Linked DNA regions of Danio rerio. Each later gene encodes a partner of the first gene's protein in a complex. Links are inferred from orthologs where the notes say so. Each region holds a gene or a part of one and is shown on either strand. Other genes may lie near its edges.

The links.
Region 2: the proteins of rab11fip1a (region 1) and rab14 are in contact, whole or in part, in a crystal structure (PDB 4D0G), measured with the Homo sapiens proteins. The link is inferred for Danio rerio from reciprocal best matches to the Homo sapiens genes RAB11FIP1 and RAB14. Residues at the interface, in NP_001002814.2 of Homo sapiens: Glu1252, Ile1255, Asp1256, Asn1257, Leu1259, Val1260, Met1263, Pro1267, Asn1268, Leu1270, Arg1271, Ile1272; in NP_057406.2 of Homo sapiens: Leu28, His29, Ile44, Gly45, Val46, Glu47, Phe48, Gly49, Trp65, Arg72, Arg74, Ala75, Val76, Ser79, Tyr80.

Annotation. Positions count from the first base shown.
Region 1 is NC_133183.1:44,909,042-44,916,868, reverse strand, and holds the start of rab11fip1a (uncharacterized protein rab11fip1a), read left to right. Parts: upstream 1-3,014; 5' UTR 3,015-3,123; coding exon 3,124-3,467; intron 3,468-7,827. UniProt on the Homo sapiens protein: A Rab11 effector protein involved in the endosomal recycling process. Also involved in controlling membrane trafficking along the phagocytic pathway and in phagocytosis. Interaction with RAB14 may function in the process of neurite formation.
Region 2 is NC_133180.1:69,326,182-69,333,248, forward strand, and holds part of rab14 (ras-related protein Rab-14), read left to right. Parts: intron 1-4; coding exon 5-58; intron 59-2,610; coding exon 2,611-2,788; intron 2,789-2,888; coding exon 2,889-2,955; intron 2,956-3,576; coding exon 3,577-3,664; intron 3,665-6,506; coding exon 6,507-6,537; intron 6,538-6,635; coding exon 6,636-6,813; 3' UTR 6,814-7,067.

The DNA.
Region 1 (7,827 bases):
ATTTTGAGTAACTTTTATTGTCATTATGCAGTGTCATAATATCAGTATTTACAGAGGATTGGAAGCCTGATTTATCAACTTTTTAGTCTTTAAATGCACACTAACATATTCAAGCTGGACCTCAAACTCCAACTTCCTCTTTTTGTGTTATCAACACCACATAGAACAGGTTTTGTTCACTACGAAGCATTGATCATCCCAAAAATAGTTAGCAAAAATGAAGTAGACATTTGTACTCGGAAACAAGGATATACAGTCATGCCCGAGATTATTCATACTGTACCACTGACAAATTCTGACTTTAAGTTACTTTTACTCAACAAGCAAGTTTTTTTGGTTGTTGTTGTTATTTTTGTTTTTGACCAGAAATGACACAAGCTTCTCCCAAAAGATAATCAGATAACATATAAAAAACAAAAACCACAAAAAGTATTTGAACAAAAAATTATGTCAAGCTTGACTGATTCTAACCCTGAAATGTCGAAATCATTCTTAATATGAAAGCAAAGAATGGACAATCACAACCAGAAGCCAAATGGTGAATTCCAATCTTCACACTGACAGTTTTTCTTCCCCACCCCACCAAGCCCACAAGCTAAAAAATTCTGAATATAGTGCTATTATCCCCTGTGTCCCATCATGGCAAAGTAACAAGTGAAACAGAGTATTTGTCTTCAGCTTACTTTAAATTGTGTTCAGGGATATTTATGTGCCAAAGAAGCTCACAGACAATTAATGCTGAACATTTTCAATATTGTGTAGTTTCCCGTTGACCCCTTCAAGCAAGAAATCATTGCCCTCATCATTGTCAAACCTGTATTAAAAAACAGACATACTGAACTAATTTTCCTTTTTCCCACAATCACAAATCATGTAAAGCCATGATGACTATGTAGGTTAAAATATTAATTTTAAAGGCTGAAATACACTGCTCACCATCATGTCATTGAACATTTCATGTGTTACTTAATTTTGGTTTAAATAAGTAGTTCTTGGTGCAAAATGTCTTTTGAAAAAGCAAACAAAACACAACCATGAAATTTGTGGTCTGCTCAAAGTGTACCATGTTTATACACAAATTGTTTTGTTTTCCTTTTTTTTCTTTAAGGGATTTACATTTTAAATGTCTTATGTGTGCATAATGGTTTCATGTGACATTGTGATATTTGCATGAACAATCGTATTTTTCTCTGGGTAGACCTAAAGTGTCTGAGGGTCAGTTTAAATTCATTGTGTTCCTCAATGTTTTGATTGTAATCTCTACATTTAAAAGGGAGATTTCAATAGTAACATGAGTATTTATATATATTTTGTCACTCACATCATATGAAAATGATAGCAACATTTTTTGTACCAATTTCAGTAATATATTTGCTATAGATGTTAAGATTGTGCCTTATGAACGACATGATGCAAAATAAAGGTTTGGTAAAAACTACGAGAATATTTCAAATCATTTTCACTTTGATCTTAAATTGTGTTATACAGGCCCGTTGCCAGGGAGGGTTTGGGTGGATCTATTTTGACTGCCATGCCATCATAAATAGTGAAAATAACCCATTAAAAATGGCTTTAAGAGCAAACAGAATCCGTGCTGATGGAAACGGAATGTTGATTCAGTGTGGCTTCAGCTAATAAGTTTTGCCCAATGATATGATCCAGAGTCCAATATCCAGCTGTGCAAGTGAACACACAAAATGATGTAAAAGAAGTCATCTTTCACTACTGTATTGTTTTTAAATAGAAAAAAAAAACATTTTACAAGTAACTTTTATTATAAATAATTTAATATTTTCTTGTTTTGAAATGGCTAAATTCTGACTGAGGAAGGTTGAATGTGCTGGCCAGTTTATTTGTCTCATAAATGACAATAAGCTACAGTTTTTAATGTAAAACTTTAACAGATTCCTTTTTTTTCTAATGATATATGATGTAATAAATTTATAATTTTAAAAAATAAGTATTTTATCACATTTATTTATTCTAAATCTTTAGGAAATATTTGGTACATCAAAAAGTGTGGTTATAATGACCACCATCCAACAAGTGAATTCAGCTAAAAATTAGTGCTTAAAATGTCACTAAAATGCAGTATTTAAATTTAATAACTACATTGAAAGTTACTGCAAAAAGGTCTATGTTTGAAAAAAAAAAAAAAAAAGAACCACTAACTTCACCAGGCTACAGGCCTGTATCTATCTAAATGAAAAAAAAAAAATCCCAGCCCAACGATTTGCGTCTGACAATTACGTAACCTCTGTTTCCATGTGAAATGCAAATTCACATCCTTCACAAGAGTTTAAACCAATTCAAAGTTAGTTGTTATTCGACTGACACGTAATTTATCCTATCAGAGTGCTGTATTGTAGTGACTGGGCGGAACAAATACTGTCACGTAGGACAAAGGAATGAACATCACGCTTGTAAACTACTAAGGATACTGTTTCTCTAGTGCCTGGAGCAGACTGATCTGAGGGAGGATGAATAATCGGCTTCATAATAATTACTCACGCTCCCTTGTTCTGTTGTCATCTTGCTAAATATACTTTATGTGGTTCATTTGACCCGAGGAAGTAAATAGGGGTTACATATTGAAAATCCAATAAGCGTTCAGGTAACCGTGCTTAAACATAGAACATTTTTAAATATCCATGAAGGTAAACTCCACTGAGGTTTTAAGGTATTTTGTGACTGCGAAACGTGCATGAATAGTCAATGAATGCTATGCTAGTGTCTGATTGGTTTTCTGTTGTCGAACTCGTTGACATATTCAATCAACCATCGTTTACTGTTAACTTTTTGAGGTTAAAATAATACTGAAATTAGGGCCAAAGAGTAAAAGCGGTACAGACACATTGTTTAAAGTAGCATTAACCCGGAATTCTAAAATAAACCATCATAAGCTCTTCTGTAATAGCTTAACTTGAAGAATGGTGTGATACCTGCATCACCTGAGCGCTGGGTACACACTGTGCGTCATGCGTAAAGGGCGGGACTTGTGAGATCTCCCAAACAGAACAGTTACACACAGTAGCTTTGAACGACGCCGGACACACGGCAAACATCAAGCAGGGACGTACTTACAAAGAGCAATTTTAGTCCCGTTTGAACTTGTATTTAAACATGTCTTTGGGTGACCAGCAGTGGTATCCCACCAGCGTTCAGGTAACCGTGCTCAAAGCACGAAACTTACGTATCAAGGGCAAAAATGGAACGAACGACGCCTATGCCATCATGCAGGTGGGCAAGGACAAGTTTTCCACCTCGGTAGCGGAGAAATGCGTCTCACCGGAATGGAAGGAGGAAGCGACGTTCGACTTGCCGCTGGTACATCAGGGGGACGTGGAACGATGCACGCTGTACATCATCGCCATGCACCGTGCCCTGGTGGGGCTAGACAAGTTTTTGGGGCAGGCTGTCATCAATTTAGTGGACCTCCACGCCAACAGATCACGCAAGAAAACCGAGTGAGTGCCGTTCTGTCTTATACGGAAATAATGTAGATATGACATTATCTGAGTGTCATAAAATATGCCACTGACTCAAAAGTTTAATTAATAAACTGCCGATGAGTTAACCATAGCTAGTTTTGGTCTATGATTCTGCATGGAAAAGTTTTAATACTCCGCCCTTTTAGCACGGCATATTATTATTAGGGGGTCAAGCGCGTAGCGCTGAAACCCTATTGTATTTGTTAGGATTTTTATTATTATTATTATTCTGCCGAAGTCACTATTGCCCAGGCCAAACCGTAAGGCCGAGAGAGCTGAAACTTGGCCAGAAGGTAGTACCCCGGTACACTACGTTCTCACCAAAGATCAGCCAAATCGGACCATAGGTGGCGCTATGGCGCCAAAAACCCACTTTTTGGACATTTTTGGCCGTTATTTGTTTACCGTTTGTCGTAGACTCAAAAACTTTACATATTTTGAATCCTTGGGTTAACCCGAACAAAAGTGCACAGCTGCACTTTTTGCTCTACGGCGCACCGTTTTCCCGCTACATCGCAATTTGTCCGAAACCTATTTTTGCGAACTAGTCCTAGGTTTTTCACTCAATCTAAACCAAACCAGCTCTCAAATGTTCTCTAGACACTGAATATCAATAATTATCAAAAAAAAGTTGACATTTTTATTCTCACTCGAAACAGTACACAACAATGTTCAATGCTAATTGAAGCTAAATGCTAATTGTGGCTATAACTTTTGAACGGAATGAGATATCATCACCAAACTTGGTACACACATGTATAAGCTCAATTTCAGGTCACAGTGCAAAAACAGTAGACTTTGGCCACACTGTGGCGCTATAAAGCTTAAAAACCATAAAATGACTCTAACCTTACAACCGTTAGTCCGATCAACTTGAAATTTGGCATGCAGTGTCTTTGATCAGTTTGCCATGAATCATTATAAGGACATTGGCACATCTCAAAAAACATGGCCGCCATTAGCCAATAAATATTGAGCAGCCATTTAACAAGGTTAACGATCAGTGATCGTAACGAAACTCGCTGGGCATGTTCGACTCACTGTCCTAGAGGTCTGTAAGAATTTTGAAAGAAATCGGCCACTAGGGGGCGATTTTACACAATTTTAAGGTGTAATGAGTTGTGTATCACACAACCTTTTGCAAAACCACAGAAAATACATATCATATGATAGGCCTGCTTATACCGAACAGTTTGACACTAAAATCACTGCTGTCACTCGCACTGTTCATTAAATATTCATCAACATATGAAAAACCTACTTTTGCGAACTAGTCCCTGGTTTTTCACTCAATCGCAACGAAACCAGTGTTGGTGGAATCTCTGGACTGTGTAGATCAATAATTATCAAAAAAAAGTTGAACTTTTTACTTTGGCTAGCTGTAACAGGCTAATTTACAAAAGGGGCGTGTCCACACGGACCTACATGCCTGTAAACCAATAAGGAAAACTCACAACATCACAGAAATTGGTGAGCACATGTGCCATATCAATGAGAAGAAACTTGCAAAATTTTGTGAAGATCAAACCATAGGTGGCGCTATAATAGCAAAAATAGTCTTAAAAACATGCCAAATGGCTTAAAAATAAAGTAAATGTGCTTCATTTAAACACTATTTCACAAATACACTTAATCTACATATCATGTGATAGGTCTGCTCATACCGAACAGTTTGACACTAAAGCCACTGCTGTCACTCACACCGTTCATTAAAAAACCATCAATATAAACAAAACATACTTTTGCGAACTAGTCCCTGGTTTTTAGCTCAATCACAACGAAACCAGTGTTAAATGAACCTCTGGACTGAGTAGATCAATAATTATCAAAAAAATGTTGAACTTTCCATTTTAGATAGCTGTAACAGGCTCATTTACAAAAGGGGCGTGTCTACACGAACCTACATGCCTGTAAACCAATAAGAAAAACCCAAAACATCACAGAAATTAATGAGCACATGTGGCATATCAATGCGAATTAACATGCAAAATTTTGTGGTGATCGGGCAATAGGTGGCGCTATAATAGTAGAAATGGTTCTAAAAACATCATAAAATGGCTTAAAAATGCAGTAAATGTGCTTCATATACACACCTATCACTGAAATGATGTACAAGTTAATTTTTCTTGCCCATATTGGATGTTTAAATGTCTTAAAAACACATATTTTCAATATTCTATCATTTTAGCCACTATAACACAGACTTTTAACTGTCACTTACCATTTCTAACCACTAGATGTCACAACAAGACCACTTATTTATTGTTCATAACATTTGCATACCTTTGTTGTTTTACATCTTTTTGATTTGAAATCAGGGAAATTGCATTTAGGATCATTCTGAATCATATTTTGACCTGATATAAACACTGCTATGCATTAAACATCTAATTTGGTCACAGTTAACCTCTGTGTAATAATTCTAATAGGCAAAACTGGTTCTATAATTAAACACCTTGTTTTAAAACATGTGTAAAGAAAATCACAACTGTTGCAACTAGATGGAAGTAACAGACCACTCATAGTTTATAGTTTATTTTACTGCTCTATAGCAAAGAATGTTATGTAATGTAATGCATTCTGAATCCCAAATTGACATGAACTGAACACAATTAATGCATTTAAGATTAAATTTTGTCAAAGCTTGTCACATCTTTTACTCTGTAGATTTTTTAATTCTTTTAATAAAACACAAAATTATTACTTTATATAGTGATATAGTTTTGTCATTTTTGTTGGGAAGAGCTAAAATAGCCAAAACTCATGAATGGATTGAAATATCTACACCAAACTTATTACACATATGCAAGTGGTTAATCAGAGGTCATAGCATGAAACTCGTAGACATTGGCCACATGGTGGCGCTATACATTGTAAAATCACTGTATCTGAGTAACCATTTATCTGATTAACTAGAAATTTGACATGCTCTGTCTTTGTCTAAGGTGCCATGACTCGATCTACACATTATATCTTAGGGCTGCTTATACTGGTCACTTTGACTTAAAAGCGGTCACTCGAAATGTTCATTAAAATTTGTCAATATGTAAAAATCGAAGTTGCTTCTCTGGAGTGTTTAATCAAACATTTGTTAGCTCAATCTATAAACTTTAACACTCTAATCGTATATTTCGTTGTCGAATAAACTACTTACAGGCGTCCTAACTGCTATATGACCTTACCCTGCTAAACTGCTTGACCCCCGTTAATTGCTGCTTGCAGCTATATTTATTATTATTATTATTATTATTATTATTATTATTATTCCTAGACTATTACAATAAAATAATTATCAATAATGCATTGTTTTTATTTTAGTTATTTAACCTTTTCAGGCATTGAATGCAGGCTCTTCGTTTGTTTGTATGGTAACTTTTTTTCTAAAATGTTTTTCCCAATGTTTCCCAATTTTCCTACTCAGCATTTATCAACATTGTCAGAGACCAAATAATCTCAAAGGGGCTTATTTACAAATATGTAGCTGTTATTTTTTTAGTAATTCTTTTAGGTCAGTTTTAATCTTTCAATCAGTTTTAATACGTTTTTATATCTCAAAAGTATTAAAGGCAGTAACCCTTTTGTGTTTCGAAAACTAAAAATAAAGGAAATCGTCTAAAAATCCATGTACAATCTGTTGGCGGATAGTGATAAAGCAAATGACATCTCTACAACGTGTTTTTCCTATGTGACAAGAATCATTAACTTGCAAAATAGGGATGAATATCATAATTTACATGTTTTTTTATTAATTTTTTTTACAAATTGTATTTATTTTTTGCACTTATTTATTTATTATGCATTTATTTATTTGATTGCATATATAGGCTCTATATTGAGGTAAAGTAGTTTTTATATTCACACATTCAGACTTTCTCCCTAATAATAGAACTTCAGAGAAGTATTCAGTGTTAACTCTAAATAGGTTAAACATATTAATAGCCAATGACTATCAAAGTACAACATTGTTCACAGTCAATTATATGATGTTAATGTTGTGTTGAATTCCTCACATGAGATTCCAGAGCCAATATTTAAAGTAGCCTGTCACAAGTTTTAACTGTACCAAAATGAACAAATGTACAAATATAAAAACAACTTTACCTCAAAATATGATTTTACTATTTAGAATTCACACAGAATACTTTTCTGAAGTTATATTATTAAGGACAAAGTCTGAATGTGCGGCTATAAAACCAACTTTACCTCAATGAGCTGTATTGGTGGGGTATTTACGTTGAATTAGCAGTTATGAATATATTATGATTTTTTTCTAGACATAATTGACTCCATAGTTTATTAATATACTGTAGCTACAGTTTGTTATAATGCAGTTGTA
Region 2 (7,067 bases), on another chromosome or scaffold:
ATAGGTGACATGGGGGTTGGCAAGTCCTGTTTACTCCACCAGTTCACAGAAAAGAAATGTAAGTGCAAGGGGTGGTGGCATAGACTGATACCGAGATGTTATAAAGGGATTATATGATATATTCAAGGGATCGTTCACTCAAAATAGTATGTTTACACACTATTTATTCACCCTCAAGTGGTCCCAAACCTCTATGACATTCATTATTCTGTTAAACAAAAAAGAAGGGTATTACTTTATTTTTATGGTCCCTTTAATGCATTTGGTTGAGTTTAAGTTACACTGCATCCACATGCCAACTAATTCTCTTCAGATTGTAAGTAGACTGCTAGGTTGGGGTTTGTGTTAGTTGACATGTACTTGCAACGTTTCTTATAGTCAGTTAAATGTCTGTTGAAGGAGCAGTAGCAGAAGATAGTCTACTAATACTCAAATGAGAAGTAATTGGCCTGTAGTTACAATTCAACTTTTAGTCAAGAAAATGTACAAAAAGGACCATCAAAATAAAATCTTACCAAAAGTAGATTTTGTAAAGAATGCTGAAAACTGGGAACCATTCACTTCCATAGTAGGAAAAACAAACACTGCCAATGGTTACAGATTTGCTTAATTTTTGCAAAGTGTCTTCTTTTGTGTTCAACAGTAGAAAGAATTAGAGGTACTTTATTACAACATTACAGTTACTGTGTAACAATAATAACTGTATTTACATTACAGAGAGGGGAAGGCTAGCGTTGGGGTGGGAGTAGAGTTAATAAAATAATCATTAGTAGGTCATTTTAATAAATAATAAAAATAATTCTTAATCTAAGAATCTCAAACAGATTTGGAAGAAGTAAATGATTTTTCAGTTTTTGGTGAAGTATCTCTTTAATAGTTGGGATATTAGATTTTTTGTTTTGATTCCTTAGTAAATTATTATTTATTATAATTATATTGCTTTGTGATAAGAAATTAATAAATATTTATTCATATGTATGCATATATGTACATATGTATGTATGTATGTATGTATGTGTGTGTGTGTGTGTGTATATATATATATATATATATATATATATATATATATATATATATATATATATATATAATTTTTTAAGTAGCAAGAGTTAAATAAAATTGAAGACTTAACAGATATTTATATCACAGTACAATTAATAAATGCTGCTAATTACAAGTCTTGTGTAATGCTATAATCATCTGTCCACAAAAATTGAGATTACGCAATTGCTGAAACAAAGTGTGACTGGAATGATGGATTTCAAAAGGCCCATATATATATTTCATTTAAAATCAAGGAAGAGCTAGTGTGGCATGATTTTCAGACAGAATTGGTTTGTTTTAACCAACAATTAGCTTGAACCTAGTCTCTGTTGTCCTCTTTCCTGATTACTTTGAGGGCAAGGCTAATGAGTAGGTTCAAATATTGATTTTCCCAATTTATTTTGTAGTTGAATATTGTGAAATATAATCATACACTATCAACATGTGACCTTTAAAAGATGGGAAATGTAAAATGACAGGGAGCAACAGCTTTTATTTTGTTCAGCAGCCAACCACTCAGGCTGCTGTTGGTTTGTTTTAGAATCAGAACTGGTAAGGGAACATTTGTCTTTTGCTTATACAATATCAGATGACATAGTTTGGCTTGTACATTTCAACATGTCCTGTGATGTTTAAAAATGGAGTATATGCAGAGCTGGTGTTTTTCAGCCAACAACAATCTTCTGGAGAAAGATTAGTGTTATTTATATTTTTATAAAGTTCCATAATCATAAAACGAGATGAAAAGCTGTCTAAACATAAACGCCATCAGGAGCAGCAGGCGATCACAGAAACTACATTGACAATACTGTGGGAAAGTAAATGTCCGTTTTAAAGACTTAGAGCAGAACAGTGAAATTTAATGCAGTGCTTCTTGTCTGGTCTGAGAGCTACTTTATTGTATATTAATCAGGCAGTGACGATCATTGATTTTTAAAGAAACCAGATATTAAACGCTGCACTTTTGTAATGGCATGACTGAAAGCATTTGAGCTGGCTAAAATTAAAAGTCCTTCTGCATAAACCCCATTAAATGACATCAGTTGATGGAAAGGTCTTTAGTGGAAACCAAATGCATTTGAACACATGAAGCCAAATCAAGACGGTAAAAGTGGACAAGCTCGAAACATTTCAGACACTGCCTATCATCTATTTTTAGAGTTTGTAAATAATTCCAACAAAAAAATCAAGCTAAAAAATCCATCTACAGTAACAGCAGATGTAAACATGGCGTCAGACAAATATGAACACAGAAAAGCTGCAGAATAATAGAACTGCCCCTCAATCTAGAAGAGAAACTAAATTTAACATCTGCATATTGGAGCCTTAAGACAAGTAAAACTTGAGTTTGCATCATTTAATCAAGATCCTGAGCTGCTCACAGAACAGCAAACACTTTAATCTGACATGGAGACAGAAGAGACAGAAAGCACTGATGTTTTGAAAACGCTACTAAATAGAATTTATCCTTTGTATATTAGTTATTGATTGCCGTGGTTTTAATCAAAGAGAGTTATGACAGGTCAATTTATCATGTCTAATATCAGTTTTCTTTTTATTTTTAAGTTATGGCTGACTGTCCTCATACAATCGGTGTTGAGTTTGGCACACGGATAATTGAAGTGAGTGGGCAGAAGGTGAAGCTTCAGATTTGGGACACGGCAGGTCAGGAGAGGTTTCGTGCTGTCACACGCAGCTACTACAGAGGAGCCGCTGGGGCCCTCATGGTGTATGACATCACCAGGTAAACTAATGTTCAGCTCTGATTGCATGGTTGATTTGCGAATGATGTCTTATTTTTGCAAGGCATCAAGAAAATAACTGAATTTGTTTTTTATTTGCAGGCGAAGCACGTACAATCACCTTAGCAGCTGGCTGACTGATGCCAGGAATCTCACCAACCCCAATACTGTAAGTTCACTGACTACATACTTCATACTGGCTGTATGAAGAAGACTATAAAACATTTACATTTAAAGGTCCTGTGAAGTGCTTTAAAATGTGCATTTTTATTTGATGTTTGACACAATCTTAATGGAACATAAATAGAGGGTGGGGCATAGTGTAGCCCCTCTATCTTAAAAAAAATAGCCTTTAGTGTTGTTTTATCACCGCTCTGCCAGCAAAGGATTGAGCTCAAGAGCATCAAATGAAAAGCAAATGCGAGTCCTGAACGGGGCGGGACATGTCAAATACTAGAGAGCATTTGATTGGTTATGATTTTATGAGTAACTGTAGTATGGGTTGACGTGAAAAAAAAAAAAAACATTTATCAATTTAGGTGAAAATGACAACCTACAAGCTTTACATGTTTATATCAGTTTAATATTTTCTAAATGGGAATTTTGTCCCTTTTTGCGGCACACTAGCTAATAGATATAATTGAAAAACTAACAATATTGATACTAACATATACAAAACGTAATTTTAATTTCTCTGGACCTTTAAGTATACAGTGTTGGAGCTTTATACATGTTTTAACAGCTTATGTTGTGTGCTTAATCGCCTTAAACAATGTAAATAATTCTTCAGGTCATCATTCTAATCGGTAACAAAGCAGACCTAGAAGCCCAGCGAGATGTCACATATGAAGAGGCCAAGCAGTTTGCTGAAGAGAACGGTAAGATGCTTGTTTGAAAAGGGAAAATGAAATACAGAACATTTAGGGGATTTGTATTTAGGCTTTTTATTTAGTGGTTTACAACAATGAGTATGCAGGATAATGATAGTAATAAATACTAAGTTGATTTCACCATTAAATAATCAGACTAGATTAAAACGTTAAAAATTAATATACAAAATCATATTTTTTTTCACATTTTCTTGGTAAGTGTTTTATTGAAGAACATACACTTCTGCAATACAGACTGAAGATGTGTCATGGGCAAGGCCAGACAGAGTCTTCAGACATTTACTTTTTTCTGCCATTTCTGTGCATTTTTTGTTAAAAAATAAAATGTGCAGATTTTTGCGAAATGATTTTGAGAGTATAGAAACAAAAAAAATAACACATGAAAGCAGGAAACAAATAACCACTTATTAACTTTTATCGAAGGTTTACAATGCAGATCCTATTAAAACCACGTTTACCACATCTCCACTAAAAGACTACAAACTATTGTACATAAATTATATAAAGATTTGCATAATATTCAATAATATTACTAATATTTATATAAAAAAACTAAATAATTGTTTACACAAGTAAATAAGTAGACTCCATAATGGGCTAAAAATCTGCAGATTTCTGCAGGTGTGGATTCTGTGTGTTGGGTCTAGTCATGGGTAATTAAATTAACATCATTATTCATTATGTAATAGCCAGAGCAACAATCAGGATTCAAACGTAAAAATTTATTTTCTCCTGTAGGGCTCAACAATAAGGACTGCCCGATGGCCAGGGCACTCAGGACAGTAGACAGGATTGTTACTGGCCCAATATGTGCTGCCTTGTATTATTTTATAAAAGTTTCATTTGTCTCCGATTATTTGTCAATTGCGTATGAATACAGTCTTACAATCGAGAAACAGTTTGTGCTTTTAAGCCTTTAAATGCCACCTTCTCTGTTCAGTTCCTCTTATCTGATTGGATGTTGTGATTTCTTTTTTTGTAACCTGGTATAAACCAGTACAGCGAAGTGACGGCAACATTAAATGATGAGGCTAAAAGAATGTCTTGTAAGCAGACATTTACATGAGTACAACGCAACGATTTGCTCATTATGCATTTATTAACATTTAAAAAATATTTAAATTCTAGATTCAAACACATTTTTGACACAATATTTAAAACATAAGAAATAGCTATTAACTTTTTTTATTTTTTGGTGGGCCAGTGAAAATATTGCCAGGGCAAGTAAAAAATCTAAACTGCTGGCCCAATTGGGCCAGTAGAAAAAAATCCTTAGTGTTGAACCCTGCCCTGGGAATGTTATTTTAAACCAGAGCTGTGGTAAAAAAAAAAAAAAAAGTTGTTTGAGAAACCAAATTTGCATCAACAATGCAACAGATTTTCGAAATGCATCATTATTCCCTCTTAAGTTCGATTCTGAGAAGGAGCTTTTGGTCCATAGGAAGTGTGCTTATACATTCCACTCATGCAAGATGGCTTTTTATGTAATGATATGAATTTAAAGAAAGCTCACTATGAACACTCTTGCACATGTAAACCTTTCCTACCTTCAGTAATGGTCATTTTAGGTTCAAGTGGTATTTGCAGAGAATTAAATGCAAGCAGAGTACGTCTGTTTGTAAAGCATACAGCATCTGCTGTTAAAACTAAACTCTTAAATCAATTCAAGAGAGAAAAGCGATGCACTTTGAAAATCTCAGAGTCAAATTGTTGATTTATTTTTAACAAGAACTAATATTTAAAAATTCAAGACATTTTAAGACAGACCTGTTATTAATTGATTGTATATGCTTTTGTTTAACTCATACTTGCGCATCATTTCAACTTCATTTTAAAATGTTTAATAACAGAAATTAAGGAGAAAACTACATTACCCAGAAAATTCCATGCATGGTTTCCGCTACATTCATTCTTCCATGCTGGGGCACCACTCCAAAATTGATCCGCTATTGCTACATTGCAACTTTTCATTCAAAACATTCAGTCATGTTTTTTAAATGATAATCTAATAATTGCACCAAAACGTATTAAAAGGTAAGTGAATTATAACAGGGCAAACTTTTCTGTAACTGTAGTAGTGCTGTGCATCATTTCTTTAACCCTTTAAGATTACGTGCTGACTGACAGGTGCATGATGCGTGAGACCAGCAAACACAACGTATAACCATTTCGCATTACTTCAGGACGCATTAATATCGCTCTGTTGGTCTATTGGAGACATTTATAAATATTCCCAGCAAATCTAATAAATCTTGAAGACATACTTGTTACATAAATGCATTAAATCACACTTTAGCAGCGTTTATTTGAGAGCGCACAAGAAGATCTGCGCTTGAGCAGTGTATATTTGAGGGGGCGCGCAATAATTTTGTATATGAACAATGGAAATCGGCGCGCAAGCAAAGAGATTCGCATGCTCGTAGGCTATTACATAAATGCGATCGCGACATTTGTCATTGAAATAACGCCACAGGTAGTTGGTAGATCTGTGTAAAAGAGGCCTGCCACCACAGCTGGAAAAAAATCCAAGAGGAAACACTGCCACGGTCACAAAGTTGAATGTGATTCCTCTCATAGCTGGTTGGTTTAGTTCATAACACAAAACAGACTTTTTGTATTATATTAATGGGGAAAATACTTTGTACTGTAAAGTAGATGTGGTCTTAATTATAAGAGAAATATGAACAGGCTCTTCTAGTCAAAAAGGTGGAGTTCCACTAGTTATTCATTTAATGTTTCACTAACTTGAGCACAAGCTTGCTTGTTGCTAAATAAAATTAACTACAAGGCTAAAACGTTTAACTGTGGCATTTTTAATCTTTTGAAACAGGTTTGTTGTTCCTTGAGGCAAGTGCAAAAACGTAAGTGACTTTCAGACCATCTGCTGTCAGAGCCTCCTCTCTTTATCTGTCATAATATCCTTCACATTCTAGCTCATCTTTGCGTGTCTGTTCAACAGAGGCGAGAATGTGGAGGATGCTTTTCTGGAAGCTGCCAAGAAGATCTACCAGAACATTCAGGACGGCAGCCTGGACCTGAACGCAGCCGAGTCAGGGGTCCAGCACAAGCCCACCGCCCCGCAGGGAGGGCGGCTCAGCAGCGACGCACAGCCCCAGAAAGAGGGCTGCAGCTGTTAATGACCATGGAGACTTCTCTCTCTATCTCTCTCTCTCTGCTCCTTCCTCTCCCACAAATCCCACCTGTATCTAAAGCCTCTCCCCCCCGCAGTGTGATTGCTCGCAGAGGCCTGACGGCTCTGTGTGATGGAGGTGTAACATAATTCATTCACTCATTCCTTCCTTACCGCTCTCTTCTTTTCCCTTCTTCTCCTGTCTCCTTCCCTCACTTGTTTTGCTTGTTTCTCATACACGCACACATCCCAGTGCTCCCA